4 linked regions of the Schizosaccharomyces pombe genome follow. The protein of the gene in region 1 purifies or fractionates together with the protein of each later gene. This does not show direct contact. Each region holds a gene or a part of one and is shown on either strand. Other genes may lie near its edges. The genes, in order: tra1, sgf29, taf9 and rvb1.

Evidence for each region.
Region 2: the proteins of tra1 (region 1) and sgf29 purify together in Schizosaccharomyces pombe (affinity purification with mass spectrometry, with the first as the bait; one study listed by BioGRID). This does not show direct contact.
Region 3: the proteins of tra1 (region 1) and taf9 purify together in Schizosaccharomyces pombe (affinity purification with mass spectrometry, with the first as the bait; one study listed by BioGRID). This does not show direct contact.
Region 4: the proteins of tra1 (region 1) and rvb1 purify together in Schizosaccharomyces pombe (affinity purification with mass spectrometry, with the first as the bait; one study listed by BioGRID). This does not show direct contact.

The regions. Positions count from the first base shown.
Region 1 is NC_003423.3:1,902,364-1,907,422, reverse strand, and holds the start of tra1 (SAGA complex, phosphatidylinositol pseudokinase subunit Tra1), read left to right. Parts: upstream 1-2,004; coding exon 2,005-5,059. Other genes in the region: ribosome biogenesis protein Yar1, read left to right, coding at 1-191; ubiquitin-conjugating enzyme Ubc7, read right to left, coding at 679-932, 982-1,039, 1,436-1,624. UniProt on the Schizosaccharomyces pombe protein: Essential scaffold subunit of the transcription coactivator SAGA complex. SAGA acts as a general cofactor required for essentially all RNA polymerase II transcription.
Region 2 is NC_003423.3:2,418,206-2,421,933, forward strand, and holds sgf29 (SAGA complex subunit Sgf29), read right to left. Parts: upstream 1,841-3,728; 5' UTR 1,777-1,840; coding exon 1,328-1,776; exon of another isoform or gene 1,227-1,327; coding exon 941-1,226; 3' UTR 533-940; downstream 1-532. Other genes in the region: pvg3 (galactosylxylosylprotein 3-beta-galactosyltransferase Pvg1), read right to left, coding at 1-97; BAR adaptor protein Hob1, read right to left, coding at 2,585-2,653, 2,722-3,728. UniProt on the Schizosaccharomyces pombe protein: Chromatin reader component of the transcription coactivator SAGA complex. SAGA acts as a general cofactor required for essentially all RNA polymerase II transcription.
Region 3 is NC_003424.3:336,649-340,311, reverse strand, and holds taf9 (SAGA complex/transcription factor TFIID complex subunit Taf9), read right to left. Parts: upstream 2,011-3,663; 5' UTR 1,921-2,010; coding exon 1,429-1,920; 3' UTR 549-1,428; downstream 1-548. Other genes in the region: protein Mcp60, read left to right, coding at 1-205; rcl1 (rRNA processing protein), read right to left, coding at 2,793-3,663. UniProt on the Schizosaccharomyces pombe protein: Functions as a component of both the DNA-binding general transcription initiation factor complex TFIID and the transcription coactivator SAGA complex.
Region 4 is NC_003424.3:4,922,456-4,926,621, reverse strand, and holds rvb1 (chaperone, AAA family ATPase Rvb1), read right to left. Parts: upstream 2,376-4,166; 5' UTR 2,359-2,375; coding exon 2,215-2,358; exon of another isoform or gene 2,162-2,214; coding exon 935-2,161; 3' UTR 557-934; downstream 1-556. Other genes in the region: protein Min8, read right to left, coding at 12-84; SPOM_SPAPB8E5.08 (uncharacterized protein), read right to left, coding at 2,731-3,042; ribosome biogenesis protein Rrp12, read left to right, coding at 3,292-4,166. UniProt on the Schizosaccharomyces pombe protein: DNA helicase which participates in several chromatin remodeling complexes, including the SWR1 and the INO80 complexes.

The sequences.
Region 1 (5,059 bases):
CTGAAATTTGCAAATTACTACTGGAAGCGGGAGGTGATCCTCATATTAAGAATATTTATGAGAAGTCACCTATATATGAAGCTGATATTCGAAATCAGCAAAAAGTAATGGACCTTTTTCTGGATTTTGAGATTGCTAAAGGTAGTGAAGAAAACACTGGTGATGAAGAAAAATTGGAAGATGGAATATGATCGTTTTATTTGATAATTTCTGATTTTTATTTTGTAAAAAAATTTACCTCTTTCTTTTGTAGGTTGTGGGAAGCTAATATTTTTATGCACCTGATGCATTTTTTTTTTCTTTTGGAGCATAATTTGGGGTTATTCTTATATTTTGTTAAGTTTTTTACTGTGTAATTTCTAGATGTTTTCTCAATATAATTCGTTTTCAGCGATGTACGTTGCCATGTATCTGTGTAGAAAGTTCAAGTGATGTTTATTAAAAGATGGATTATCTCAATAGACAAAATGTTTATCTTCCATCATTTACAGATAGAAATTGAATTGGAAAAGTGCTTTCATTTTTGTTTAAACCTTGTAATTAAACCTATGTAGCGTTATACGTTGGAATAGAAAGAGAAAAGCCTACCGGTTGCGTTCAAAAATGGAACAAAACTTTATTTCTAGATTTTATCAGGTTCGTTATTCATGGCAATCTAATCAAATATACAATTCATGGTTATAATCCCAAGGTTTTACGAGCCAATCGTCGAACTACACGACAATATTCTTCTCGATCTTCTCTCCACATCTTGCACGCATCGATGTTAGCACCACTTTCATCGTTTGGTTCCGCCAACATCGACATTACCGATAACAGTATTTTTTCAACAGATTGAACAGGAGACCAACGTTCTGAAGACGACTCATACATATTTGGATCGTCACCAGGTGCATGTAGGATGGAAATGCAAACCGTCCCATCTTTGTAAACTGAAATGAAGGTTAGTCTCGAAATTTGGATTAATAGTATCTGGCATACCATTTGGATGGAAAAATTCACACTCAAACTTTAAAGTAGGGGGGCCAAGAGGATAATCCTACATAAAAAAGTTAGAATCCAATAAAAATAAAACTAAGCACGTATCAACGTGCGCTTGAACACCCCGGATGTACTGCCATGCGATTCAAAGAAAGAAACCAAACCCCCAAAAAAAAACTTAGATAGATCTTTTAAATAAAATTTCTTCCTACTCATCAATAAATCGAAGGATTCATCAATTACTAATGAATAAAAGCACTTCTCTTAAATGATCATTCTAAACGAATGGATTATTGAGTTACTTTCTTTATTTACGCTGAACAAATGTTAATTTATGAAAAAGAGCGCGTATTTTTTAATAAGTAGTTGATACATAAAACATGCGAAACATCATACTTATCCACAACTTAAATCACATGTTCAGTCTCCATCAGGTTTATAGTAAAGGACTTACGGAAGGAAATTTCAAGGTAGCAGGGTATAACCCACCTTCAAATGGAGTTCCATCAGGGCCTTGAATTAGGCAATCCCAAGTAAAGAAATCATCCTCATTCGATGGACCTGCAGTAATACCATCAGGCCCATTCTCCGTTAACTCCTTATACTCCTTCATTAACCGTCGCAACGCCATAGCTTTACTCATTTTGGAAATCAATTAACTTACTAATCGGTAAGATATATTAAAGATCACTGACTAAAAGGTAGCCTAAAAATGGTAATGAACAGATTAATGAATGAATGGTTTGTTTACGACAAATTATGCAGCTGAGGCTAAACGAACTTTTGTGGTATCACTCGCTATTTTTATCTCGTTCATCATTTTAGCAACTTCTACCGCACAAAATAATAAGGCCGTTAATTAAAATAGCGAAAACATGTAAAATTCATAAAGTGATTTAGAGGAAAGAAATGCAGCTTGCTCTATCCCACAACATTCCAATAGTAATTGTTAAATACTTAGGAAAACGTATCCGAGTGCAATTGGAATTTAAAAAAGAGCTTGCGCAGAGATCCAAGCATCTGATGGATGTATCACAATGCGAACATTGGCATAATCGGCTTTGTGATGTTGGATTAGACTCGAAGCAAAAGGCAAACACAGCAATTGAAATTCGAGATGCACTGGATGATGTGTTGGTAACTGAAAAGACGAATTTTGAAACTTTCATTCCTCTTTTGGAGGACACGTTGTCTTTGCTTGAAAAGGAACGTCCTGTATTTTCATCGTTAGCAGCTACACATCGTTTACGCATTGCATTGCTTGAATTGCTCAAGAAATCTGGATCCTATAAAGGTTTTGAAGCATTCGTTAATCGGACTTTTGCCGTGCTTCTTCGTATAGTCGTTAATGATAATGAAGAGATGGCAGTGTTGGCATTGAAGCTTGTTGTCCTTCTTTTTAAGGACCACAGTAGCCTTGCTAAGGGACATGTTCAGGAATTTTTATCCATTGTCGTTGAAAACTACAAATCCATGACCACAGTTGTTTCAGAAGCTTTCCCACCTAGATCAGCTCCGAATACTCCATCCTCTCATCCCATGTCTGCTGCATCTTCTGCATCTCCTGCTGAAATTGGAATGGAACATGCAGGTCCAAAAATGATCCCAAAAGCTTCTTCGAGTTTCAAGGTCACTGCTGAATTTCCCATTATCGTCTTTCTCCTATTTCAAACATACAAAGATCTTATTCCGAAAATGCTTCCTTTACTTGCTCCGCTTGTACTTCAATTTATCTCACTTCGTCCTCCACCTCAAGCCGAAGCTCGTCGACTTGCAGAATCTCAAAAAGAGGTTTTTATTGGTGTAGTCCCTTCTTTGCGTCGAAATCATCTTTACAATGACCTTATTTCTGCGCAAATTAAATCATTCTCTTTTCTCGCCTATTTATTGAGAAGTTTTGGTGCTGCTCTTAAACAGTTTGAAAGCTCGATCCCAATATGTACCTTGCAATTGTTCATGGACTGTCCTTCCGAATTATATCAGACTCGAAGAGAACTTTTGGTAGCTACAAGGCACGTCTTATCGACGGATTATTTGAGAGGGTTTCTACCGTATGTAGATCAACTACTTGATACCAAAATTCTAGTTGGTTCTGGAATCACTTCTCAGCATTCATTACGACCCATGGCTTTTAGCATGCTGGCAGATATGCTTCATTATGTGCGTATGGAATTAAGTCCACAACAAATTTACAAAGTCATACTTCTTTATTTCAGTATTTTGATGGACGACTTTTATACTTCAGCTATTCAGGCAATGGCTACAAAGCTTATTTTAAACTTGGTTGAAAGAATTGTTGCACTAGAAGATTTTTCCACTAGCCGATCACTTCTATTTGCTATACTTTTATGTCTCTTAAGAAAATTGACTTCTCTGAATTTCGAGTTTATGAAGCTGAGAGATTCTTTACAGGAAAATGCTGACTTAAAGCAAATTAAAATAGAAGAAAATAAACATGATCTTCCTATGTTTGAGAACCCTACTGGAGCTGCCCAACCTTCAGGTTTGGATAAGCTAAAAGATTGCATATTTCTTTTTAAAAACACCTTATTAGGTATTAAGCCTGTTTTGTTTGGACTAAAGCAACGAAATATTCCTCTTGCCAACGGTTCCATTTTTACAGCTCAGGAATGGTCTGAAAAGTTACATCTTAGTTCAACTAATGAAGTTTTACTGTTTCGAAGATTACTTGTGGAAAGTTTAAAGGGATTCAGTTATTACCAGACAGATGAAAAAACCGGTGTATTCAAGTCCTCGAAAAATCTTGCATACTCTCAACTTGATTCTTCGTTGACCACAAACCCTTCTAAACTCTTAGAAGAGAAGGAGCTCTTAGAAATGTTAGCAACTTTATTTTTACACTTGGACCCATCTGTTTTCGTCGAAATTTTGGAATCCGAGTTTCCGAATATATTTGAGTGTCTAGTAGATAATCTTGCTTTATTGCATATTTTCCAATTTTGGATGTCTAATGAAGTTACTTCTGTCAACTGCACGGGCATCGTGCTGTCTTTTTGCTGTGACAATCTAGCTAAAATAGGGTCTGGCCAATCCACTCGGGTTTCTGTTTTATTGCGATTATTCAAGTTGGCCTTTATGACTGTGAATGTTTTTCCCGAAAAAAATGCAGAAGTCCTGCGTCCCCATATATCCTATATCATTTCAACTAGCCTCGAATTGACTACTGATGCTGTTGAACCTTTAAATTACGTTTATTTAATGAAAGCTTTGTTTAGAAATATCAGTGGAGGAAAATTTGATTCTCTTTACAAGGAAATACTACCACTTCTCCAAGTAATGCTAGAATGTTTCAACAGATTGATTTTTACTGTTACGTCTACATCCCAAAAAGAGCTGTATGCGGAACTTTGTTTGACTTTACCCATTAGACTCAGTGTGTTGTTGCCTCATATGAATTTTTTAATGAAGCCATTGATTGTTGCATTAAAAGGCCCCCCTGAAATAGCTAGTCAAGGGCTTCGAATATTTGAACTTTGCTTGGATAATCTTACTCAAGAATTTTTGGATCCTTTATTGGACTCAATTATGCCGGATTTGCTGATATGCCTGTGGAATCATTCACGCCTTAATCAATCCAATAATCAATTGCATCAAAGTGCTGTGAGAATATTAGGAAAAATGGGTGGTCGAAATAGACAAATATATCTTGGTACCTTTGGCTTTGATTTTTTGCAAGATGAAAATATTTTTCCTTCAATCCAGTTTTCTTTCCAAGGCTCCTCTCAGAATTTTAGCTTAGAGCACTCCAAATTTTTAATGTCTTCATGTGCTGTTTTAAACAATCAAAATTCCGATTTAGAAGAAAAGAAGCAAGCATTTCAAATGGTCAAGAATTCGTATTTATTACTCTTTGCGTCTGCGAAGCCCGATGAAGACTTTTGGGAATCTATTGATACAATGTGCCGAGCAGTTGTAGATCGCATGGATAAAAACTTACAGCAAGTCTCTAATGGTAGGTTGTGCCCTGACAAAGATGAATCTTATTATCTGCAAAGATCTATTGTCTCAAACATTTTTAAATCTTTAGTCGGCTCAATGTCTTGTGTGGAATTTGTAG
Region 2 (3,728 bases), 520 kb from region 1:
CCTGTAGACGATTTAGTACAAGAAAAGCAAAGGAAAAAGTAGCAACACCGGCAATTAGCACGTAAAGAAAAATTTTTTTTTTAGAATTTGAAAACATAGTGAAAGAGTTTAATTAAACGAGCACGTTGCGCCAGGAGGTCAATTAGAGAGACGTGAATATTAATTGTCCCTTTGAATAAAAGAATAAAATAAAACCAAACTTAAAGATCGTTGAGAATTAAACAAAAGACTCCTTGAATATATGAGCCAGCAAACAGAATATAACTCTGAAAGGAGTATAATGTTTGGTTCTGAAAACAAAGCTGTGCTTGGTGCCATATTCACGTCCACCATAAATACGCAGTCATAATGTAACCAGAAGAGCAGCTACTCAAACCCTTAATGCCCTCATAGCGTTGGTAACTATAAATGCGTTAACTATATATACCGGGTTGCTACATTTCTTTATCTCAGAGTCCATTAACCAAAGGATTCATACATATACAATTTTTCTATTTTGTTTATTTTTATGAATAATTTAATAGGAGATACTCGTTAAATGAACTTAGTTTTAGTATTCAGTTTCCTCTATAGGTGTTTGAAATTTTTTCTAGACTGTCATGTTACTACTATTTTTTAAAATTAGATTCCTTGCAAAATGTCAAGGAAGCAAGCAGATTTGGCGTACATTAGCAATGTTAGATGTGCAACACGATAGAAGCAAGTACTTTGAATGAGCCCTTGTCTTGGCTTAAGTTATTAACATGCGTTAACGCCATTAATATATAAAATATAAGGAACAACTCAACATCACAATGAATAAAAAAAATGTTAAATCTGAGTTATGCATATTACAGATAATGTCATCAATTTTTTTAAATGCTGTGAACCTAATATCGAAGTGAATAAAAATAACCTTTAACTAATACCTCCTAAAAAATCTGAGTAAAACGTTCCAGTTTTAACCATTGTACTCTAACACCAAATGACGCTCTACCACTGTTTCTTTCCCAACTTCCTCTTCTCCTTCAAATCGAAGTTTACATGATCCATCAGGCAGAGTGCGAATGACTTCTGCCCGATAAAACGTAGTAGTTTCAGGATATCGAGCTAAAACATTTGTTTTTGGGCTTATTGGGGGTAAAGGAGTTCCTTTTGCAGGAATTTGTATAAGATGATTAGCTGTAGTTTTATAAATTTGACCTGCATTACCGTCATCATCCGGTTCTGGATCCTGCACTTCAAATCTATGGTTTTGTTAATATACTGGTAAAAAAATATTATCAACATATAAGCTTAGAAGTAAATTTGAACTCGCGACTGACAATATTTGCTTTTGAAAACTCACCTCTGTTTTGCTCCTTCTCCAGTCACTTTAATAATGATACATTGAATCCAATCACCTCCCTCGTTATGCCTCGTGTATGGTAACTTGAAAGCTACAGACATGCCAGGTGTAAAGGTTACTGTATTTGCTGTAAAGCTTGTTCCTCGGTTTCGACGACTTCTCGTCAAAGGACTATTTGTAATTACAGGTTTTTCATTGGCTTTTTCGAGTACATTAATAATCATCTCAAGAGATTGCATTGTATGCTCCAATTCTTTTTTCTGTTCTTCAGAGGTTTGAATTCCCGCGTCACACGCTTTAATTCTTTCTTCAATTGGATTATCGTCGCCATCAACCGTTTTATAACATTCTTCTTGTTTTATTAAACTAGACCGAATGGGATTTAGGCTTTCATGAAATTTAACCCACATGGATGTCACATCCTCTTCAGCATTTATGGGGCGTACCATAATATCCTGTAACTGATATTCTCAAACAACACTTTTCATCATCCAATTTCCTTTGGTAGGTGCTAACTCACTTACTAGATTGATTTGCATGATACTATCAGCTATGCAAATTACTTTATTACAAATTTCATTAACACTCGATATTGTATTTACCGTATCGTTGCTGCATTAGGTTACGTAGTTAACTATTCACTTAAGTCATGGAATACTGTCTGTTAACGAAGTTCGTTAAACGATTCTCGTTTAGCAACGACTCTAAATACTGTATGTCGTATATTTCCTGCTAGAATACATCAATTCCGATTGTTATACTGTTGAAACTACAAATCCCAAAAAATTCAATATCACAATGAAAGCTCTAGTTCGAATCATGTTTTGCTTCAATCCTAGCTAGCACTGTTAAAGTATAGATATAAGAAAGGACAGCTTTGTTGATAGACTAGTTAAATTAAAATAAAAACAGTTAAACGTAATTAATATATATAAGTTTACGTTATTCAAAACATTTCAAAAAATGTGCTACTCTTTGAAGTACACGTCAGTAAGGAAACACGTTGATAAAAAGCCAGTATTCAAACATAGACAGTGTTAAATTATCACTGGAGATGATGATGTATGGAATACATGTCTAAATTTAAGCATCATAGTTAGAACGACAAAATTGATAGAAATTGAATAGCAGTGTAAAACTTGTTGAAGCGCGCACACAAACAGTAACCTGTAACAACAAGTCCTATAATCAAGCTTCTATATTGACTTCAGTAGGCAGCGAGATTTTAAGACACATCTAGGTAAATTTAAAAACGCTTTATTCAAGCTGAACATAATTACCAGGAAATTGACCTTGTGCACCGTTAAGTCGGCCAATCCACCATTCCTAAAATATATATTAGTAAAGTCCTTGTTTAATAAGAAAAAAATGAAAATTTAAGTTTAAGTACTTACATTTTGATTATCAGTACGTGAAACAACTTCGATACGATCGCCAGCATGAAAAGATAAATCTCCGGCTGCTTGGGCAGCATAATCATATAAAGCAACAACATGCTCTGCGGCGGGAGCCGCAGCAGGTGCAGGCGCTGGTGGAGGTACGGGAACTGCGGCTGCAGCTGCTGCTACCGGTGCAGCAACAGGTGTGGTCACTGCCGCAGCAGCAGGTTGAGGCATAACTGGAGGGGGAGGAAAGGCCGCTTGAGGGTATTGAGCAGCTGCTGCTTCAGTTGTAGTAGTGGTCGTCTGAACAGTTTGATAACCTGCACTTGGGGTAGAATAATCGGAAGCTCCGGCAACCGATGGCGTTGAGTATGGGGGTGGAATATCCGTAGCTGTCGAAGAGGAGGGTTCGGCTGCTGCTTCTTCACGCTTTGACGAAAAGGAAGAAGAAGAAGAAGCAGTTGCATCTTTACCACCCGGTCCCATACCCGGTCGTTTATACGTCGGTTTAGCGGTCTTAAATTTAGTAATCGTCAAAGCCTCTGCGCGATCTTTAACATCGCCGCGTCTTCTTTCGTACGATTCCAAAATATCGGTATTGAAATCAAAGTACTGAATTTCGCAGTGACTCATCTTTTCATAAAGAACGTAATAGACATTTAATTGCATATAGTAAAATCCTTGGAATAAGGGAGCAATGAAGCTCTGAGCCAATGCAAATAGTTTAGGTAACTCCTCCTTCAGCATTTCATTATAATATTCATATTCTTGGGAAGATTGTTCAAAGGCGGTTTCAGCTTCATAAAGCTTCTTCTCATCTTTAAGGCTTTTATCCTTCTTTTCCTGAAGTTTCTTGAAAGATGAACGATGACGATCATAATCCAGCTGCTTATGATCGCGTTTCAACAAAAGCTTATCTACATCCTTAACAATCTTGAGCAGTTCACCAGTTGGATTGACAATGCGAGTGTTGATAACATCCATTTCAGAAGCCAAATTCTTTTGGAGATCGTATACAA
Region 3 (3,663 bases), on another chromosome or scaffold:
TGCTAAGGATCGTTTTGTTGATTTAAATGAAATTGGTGTTTTGGATCCCCTAAAGGTCGTACGTACCGGTTTAGTTGATGCTAGTGGAGTCGCCTCATTAATGGGTACCACCGAATGTGCCATCGTCGATGCTCCTGAAGAGTCCAAGGCCCCTGCTGGTCCTCCCGGAATGGGTGGCATGGGTGGAATGCCCGGTATGATGTAAGGTATCAAAAAAATGCCGACGTGGTTTTTTAAATTTTTACAATTTATTAAAAGCTTATGATTATGATGATTTAAATCCATTCAGAGAAATTGGCTTTAATTTTGCATTATGTTGTTGACCTTCGTAAAATTCTTTAGTTTCAAAACTAGTTAATGGGTCATACTTCTGTTAATGGATACTTATTGTTTTGAAACTTTTCATTCGGCTATTCTCATATGGTTGCTAATTGTACAATCAAACTCCTGATTTTGTTTAATGAACATAATGTTTTACCTTGTGTTTATTACACATTATAATTTCACTCTTTTTACGAATGGTATGACTTTCGACTTAAATACCAAGTTTTCACTTTTGTGTTTTTGTAAGTTCTGAATTGTGTTTACGTAAAGCATCAAGTTTCTTTATATTTCCTATACAGGTTTGTGGTGAGCTTTGAAATGGTTGAAGTATGTGAGAGATAAATGATTTTGAAAATGATGAAAATAACGCGGATGAAATATATGTCCGAGAGCGCAAAAAATGTGTGGATATTTCCGTTGCCTTCCTTCTGATTCAAAATTATTATATAACTTATATATTTTTAGCTGTCGTGCGAGTATCCCTACTATATTCTTTTTAGGGGATCTGTATAGGTCATATAAAGAAAATTAAAATGCATGATATTATGTTATCACTAGTATTGTGGTAAATTGTATTTTCAAAGTTATGATGAGAGGCAATTGTAAGTAATAAAGAAACATTGGTGCGGTGTAAATTTTAAATGAGCCTAGTAGTTGAAGAAAGCTCTCGACGAGCTCATGCCAATTTCACAGCCTTACATGAATTACTCCAGTTTTTGTAACATTTTAAGAAAAAGCGCGCCGTCACTGATGTTGTTGCCGTCTCTTTCACTTTTTTCTATTCTATGTCGTACCATATATAAAAGATACAGTGTACAGTAATGTACAATATGAGCTGAATTTAAAAATGTTGTATACTTTTTTGCTCCATACACTGATTTCGTAGCAAATAAACAAATAAACAGGTACCTTATAACTGTAAACGATTTATTACCCACGCCCTGCTTTCGCAAGTTAAATAGGAAGTTCTGGAGGAACAAAATCATATAAATAAAACCATAATCATCTGCTGCAAAGATTCGTGAGCGCTTCAAAAATATTTACATATATCTAAATCATCAGCACTTCCCCGGCATTAGTAACAACTTTAAAAGGAAAATAAATTTATTCAGACTTCACAGAGAAGTCAAGTTTATCCTCCTCCATTCGTGAATCCGAGGAGTTCTCTTCCTTTGGTTGATTCTGTTGGGTTTCATTACTGACAATCCAGTTGGGTTGAGTTAAACAGTACTTCTCCGGTGGAAGACGAAACCCATAAGACGGCTGAATTTGGGGTAAAGGTTTTCGATTTCTCTCCATAGCAAGCTCTAGTAAAAATTCTTTTGGTGGAGGTCCAGTGAAGGAGTGATTGATTTGAGAAGCAACAGCTAAACGTACATCTTCTACAGAAATTGGAGCATTTTGCCCACGTGAATGTTCCGCATAAACCTGTGAATCCTGGATTAACTGCTGTGTATATCTATGTGCAAATGTTAACAACTGCAAAGGCACTGTTTGAGAGTATGATGGAACACCCAGAGAGCTAAGTATTAGATGAATCAGACGAACGTCCTTAGGTCCTTTTATAGATTCATCACTTATTCCTGGAGAACTCATGATTTATTAAATACTATAAGTATATGCGAAGACAAATACGACTCCCGTTATTTTTCTGTTTTACCACCCAAAAAGATTTATGGTCGTTGCGAGCGTTGCAAATTGTATCCACTCAGAAGTTAGCGTGAGTCCACTGCACACCACTAAATAGCTTGTTTCAGAAAGTTTACAACAATGCTATTTTACATATACATTACTAAATATTTCGAGTCATAAAAATTTATCTAAGCAAACTTTAATTTATGCAGAAGGAATGATTTCATTAAAGCAATTCCTATCAAAGTTGCTTTTAGTATCACCAATGTTAATAATTTAGAAGTTACATAAAATTTTAGTATAAGCAGCGTAAAGTAAAAACTCTCATTTAGTAAATAATAAAACGAACAGGATCATTCATACAAAATCAATGATGATACAAATTTACTAAAAATTGGCAGTGTTTTTTTTTTACAAAAGGACATGGAAAAAGGTTGAGATTTTCAAATGAGAAGAGCATCTAAGAACTAATTTTCTGAAAAAGAGGCATCGGGAAAGAAATATTAAAGCAGAATGAAGTAGAAACAGAACCAAGTAATTTAAAGGAAACCAAAAAAATTCAAACCATAATTGAAAATGAACATAACAAGACCGTTAAAACAACTGAGTCACAAAAACGTATTTAAATCTCTAAATATGTATGGTGCTTTTTTTTTATACTCATGTCGTAATTGCAATGGGAAGTTAATGGGTAATGAACTTCTTAGTACGATTAAAGAGTAAATATATATCAAAAAGACGTTCGTTCATTTTAAGTACCCGAACAATATGTTAAATGTAATGTTATGATGTTTAAGAAGAATAAACGAGCAAAGGACCCACTGATAAATGGTTTTCTATTGAATGCGGCGATTGACATTTAAATATCCTTTTCCTAAGCATGACATCTCCACCTGGCCTGATTCGAGCTCTTTAAATCTATATTCGCAATTGAAAAGTGCCTTCACATCCCGAAGAAAAACAACTAATTGCGAAGTAATACCAAGTTGACCCACAACTATTGTGTTAACGTCTTCAGAGGATAGTAGCATCCCGGTTAAAGTTGAAGGTTGTGTATATGGATCTACACAACCACCAGATTCAATAACTTCCAATAATTTCTTTGCGCAAAAGGAACCAACATCTTCTGGTGTTTCTCCAGCTTCACCACAATGCTCGGCAGCATAAGAGCAACCCTTATTAGTTTCTGCAACTAAAGTGATAGAATACCCAGGACTGTTACCACATTCATCTCCACGGCGAACGTCTGTATAAATGAAAACATCGGGTATAAAAGGATTTAAAACTCCGCGAGCAGATTCTACTAAGCGATTTGCAAAAGCGGGAGATACTCTAGTTGAAGAAGCAATTCCTCTGATTCGGAAGACTCTTCCAAATTCTGAGAGACGAATGGGAGGTAAAGACTCTTTAATTACAGGACATAAAAAATTCACTTCACCTCCTCCGCCAGGAGCAGAACCACGCTTTAATATGCGCAACTCAAGTTCATCACCAACTTGAAAACGCTTTTGAAGAGAGGGTAATACACTAGTGCGCAAAACATCGACACCAATATCTTCATTACTGGAAGTAACTCCAGTAAGAGTAAGTGAAGTAGGGGTTTTTGCAAAAAGACAAAGTATTAGAATTGGTTCCAAAAAATAGCCTATCCCTTTGGTAGTTGGACAATCATGGACTACACGACCTCCTATAATATTTCCTGGGCGA
Region 4 (4,166 bases), on another chromosome or scaffold:
CAGTAACTAACCCAGAGGTTTGAGCTCAAAAGGAAGCCTTTGAAAGGCCCTGTAAGGTTTCATAATTCTTGATAAAACTGCCATTTGTACACTTAATAGTTAAGCATTCAAAGTCTTCTCTTCAACTTATATTGGGTTGCCCTTCCTCCTGGTCTCGTCATTATTGCTTTACTTTGGCCACACTTATGTAAAGTGGTATATTGACGAACTAACGAGGCATATTAATATATCATAACAAACGGGGTTGCTTACTGTGCGCTAAGAGTACTGTGTGTGTTGATAAAATTGCTCAATCGATGGTGTTGCAATGTAAATAATCAATTTCTAAAATGACGACGAAACAGTTATCGCAGATGGGGAATTTTTTTTCCGCGTATTACAAATGTTGTATTACTCTTTTTGTCTATCATGCTTTATGAAGTTACTGTTGAAGTTTTTTGCCTGTTATTCGTTCTTTAGCACTTGCTTATCTCAAGTGGCAGCTTGTCCTTTCGTGGAAGTAGGAATCAAAAATGAACAGAAGATTTATAAATAGCATTCAACTCAAATTTAAAAAAAAAAAAAAAAAAAAAAAAGAACTCACCTTCTTATAATATTTTAAGTTTATTTACAGAATGATTGCAGCTTTTGCAAAGTACTTCATACAGTCTTTCCATGCATGTAAAAAAACCCTAGGAGGTATTGAATTCTAAATAAATTCATTGATCCTGACTTTTATTTAGGTATTCATAAATGATTACAGTATAAATAAATGCCGGAATGGAAGGAATATAACTGGATAAAAAAAAGAAGAAATTGGTTAAGCTTAAAAAAAATTTACAAGTTTATAAATAAAAAGGTATATATATTCACAACCTGTGTAAATCTAGCTAGTTTCGCATATAACCAAAAAGTTGAAATAAGTAAGGGTAGATCGTTATTAAGGATAATATTTTTATTGAAGGAAGCCTGAAGATGATTTAACAACTTGAGCGGAGCGGCGAGCATCTAAGAAAAGATCGTTACATTCTTCGATATCTTGTACACCAATCTCTTTGTTACCATGCAAACTGGCAATAATGCTAACGGGTGTCAACAGTTGTATAACATAACGGAGACTAGTACGAGAACCTTCTTGAGCCAGCTTGTCCAAACACTCATCAGTAAGGATGATGTTTTCAACTTTTGCACGTATCTGCAAAATGGAACGAATTTCTGACTCTGAATAGGGGAGTGTGCGAACTATTAGTAATCTGTCAAGCAAATCCGTAGGAATACCATGGGGAGCTTGAATATCCTCAGTACCCCGAATGGTACAAATGCCTCGATTAGAGGCAAAGATAACAATAGGAGAAATAGTGCTTTCTAGGGCTTGGTTGAGATAAGTAAAGCACTCAATGTCTAACATATGAACCTCGTCGATGAACAAGACACCAGGAATAAGTTCAGCGATTCCTTGTTCGATATATTTGTTGACAACCTTGTTAATTTCACCACGAAGCTTATCGGTGATTTCAGTTTTCTTGGGCTTCATTAACTGACCCATCATAGACATTATATCTTGTCCTCCTTGAGGGCGGGCATTGGCAATATCCAAATCATGAAGAGTCACGTCCTGAACAATTTCTTTCCGCTTGTGTACCTCACCTTTAGGCATAGGAACATATTCTTCCGCTTCTAAATCGAACTCCGTAGCATACGCATCGCTACGACCCACTCTCTTTACGGCACCTGTATTGGCTTCTATGTAAATAACGTCCCCGGTTGACACTTGTTCTCTTTGTAAAGATTCGTAAATGCTAGGATCTAATTTGAGCTGTTTGGTACCCTTATGCGTTTTGAGGCCCAAAAGGACGTGTGAAATGGTTTTTCCATAACCGCCCAAAGGATTTTCGGCTTCTTCGGGAACCATTTCTGTAACCTCACCCTCATACACTTCTTTTGTTTCCTTTACCCGAAGACCAATGGCCCTTCGAAAGTTTTCCATTAAAGCCTCAGTTTTCTTTATTTCACTAGAGTAGACTTCACTTCCCACCATAGGACAAAAAGGAACTTTAGGACCAAGTTCTTGGGCAATCGCCAAGGCCAGTGCTGTTTTACCAGTACCAGCACCTCCAGCGAACAATACACCTTTACCACCAAATTTTTTAGACTTGATTAAATCAGTGATGATGCCACAAGCCTAAGAAAATATATTAGAATACATTATATTAAAGAATTATCAGGAATGCTTACCTCACGAGCCTTTTCTTGTCCAATGAAACCTCCACCAACAGATTCACAAGTTCCATCTTCTTTTAGGCCTAAACCTTTGATATGTGAATGTGTAGTAATCCTATTATCACGGCCATTTCCCTTAACCTCGCTGATTTGGACCATTTTATAAGTAGTTGGTTGAGGATAGCTTGCTTTCAAAATGTGACATTAGGGTTGGGTGTAGCAAAATAGTACCAAGTTAAATAAGAAGAAAGTAGAGCTGAGGTAATGAAAAAGACAGGAAATGAAATAATAAAGCAAAGAGGTGTATTCTTTCTTTAAAAAAAAAAATTAAACAGAAATTAACAATCGATTTTTGAGGAATTCTATTTTACTGTATATGATGCAAAAAAAATAGTAACTAAAACTGTTATAACGAGTACTTAAGTAATAAACGCAAATACATCTAAATGTTTTCAAAAAGTTATTCTTGATTTATTAATGAATTATAATTTTCTTATTTACATACATCCCATATGTTGATTAACTACCATCCTAGAATAGCGATATATATTTAAATAAATACGGTGAGCATAAAAACGAATAAAAAAAAAAATATATATATATATATATTGAAAACTTGTTTGGATTGCTTAATCCGATGCTACTACTGTTTCGCTGATTTTTTCTTCTGCTTTTTTTATTTTTAATCTCCGGGCAATCTGTAATCCTTCGATAGGTTTTGTAGTGCTTAAACGCTCGCTCATTTAAGATACAATAAAACATAATTTTATTAGCGACAGATAAATAAATGAATATAAACGGTAATAACTTGGGAATCATTTGTTTACATCTCAATTTTCTCATGTACCAGGAAAATACCCGCAATTCCGTCTAGCAACAGCGAATTAATGTTTATCAATAAATTTAAACTTAACCTGCCACACATCGTGATCCATCAAAAGATTGGTAAGGAAATTTCCTAATTTCACAATCTTTTTTCGCCAAACAAATAACGATGTGCAATGCACTGCGAACATATCTGTGAATTTCGCACTGATGTGGAGTTGTCTTTCACACCATCCTACAGGGAAAGTTTGGGCAGGTTAAAAATTCATGGCTGAAGTGAATGAACCATTGCAAATTGAACTTCGAAAGATTCGAAACAGCTCCACTGCAGGTGTCATAAACGAATTCGATGTAATCGTTAGTGCAGTGGAGGGGACGTTGAAGGAGCAAAAAACTGAGGCGACACCAACTGCTTATTTGGTGGCCCTTCTAACTTTAGTTAAGGAATTCACGGACTTAAAGAAAAATTTTAAGGGACACACGTTTCAACTACTGGAATTGGTTATTAAGTATGTGCCCTCTAATGTTCTGCAAGCAAAATTTCCCCAGATCTTGTCTGTCCTTGCTCCAGTTGTAAATAATGCAGAAACCAATAAAACCGTCCTTCTCCCCTATCTTAATGTTTTGGAGAAGCTTTTACTTCTTCAGGATTATAGCTCTTGGACTCATGGCAATTCTTGCAAAACTTCTATCTATATTTTATTATTCTTTGCATTGTCCAATACTGAGAAGACGAGAGTACGTTCTTTGCAAATTCTGGCCAACATATTAAAAAATCCTCCGGCAGGTCCTGTAACGGAGCATCCTGCTATAAAATATACTGCATTCGAGCCACTTCGTCTTTTGGAGTCGCTCGCTACTGCCAAAAAGCCCAAAACTCCTGCAGAAGTCCAAAAGCTTAATAATAGTTTGGTTCTTATTCGTGTGCTTTGTTCTTCTACACATTGGCCAATGACTCTCGTCGAAAGGCTATGTAGGTCCTGCGTATTAATTGTTGGACAACGAAGCACAAATTCCATTCTTCTTGTTTATCAAATTTTGGATGGGTTGTCAAAAAAATCAGTGGATTATACAGATGCTGTTAGTCTACGAATGACTCTGATTTGTTTGCAAAAATTGGAGCCATCAGAACACGATCCGAT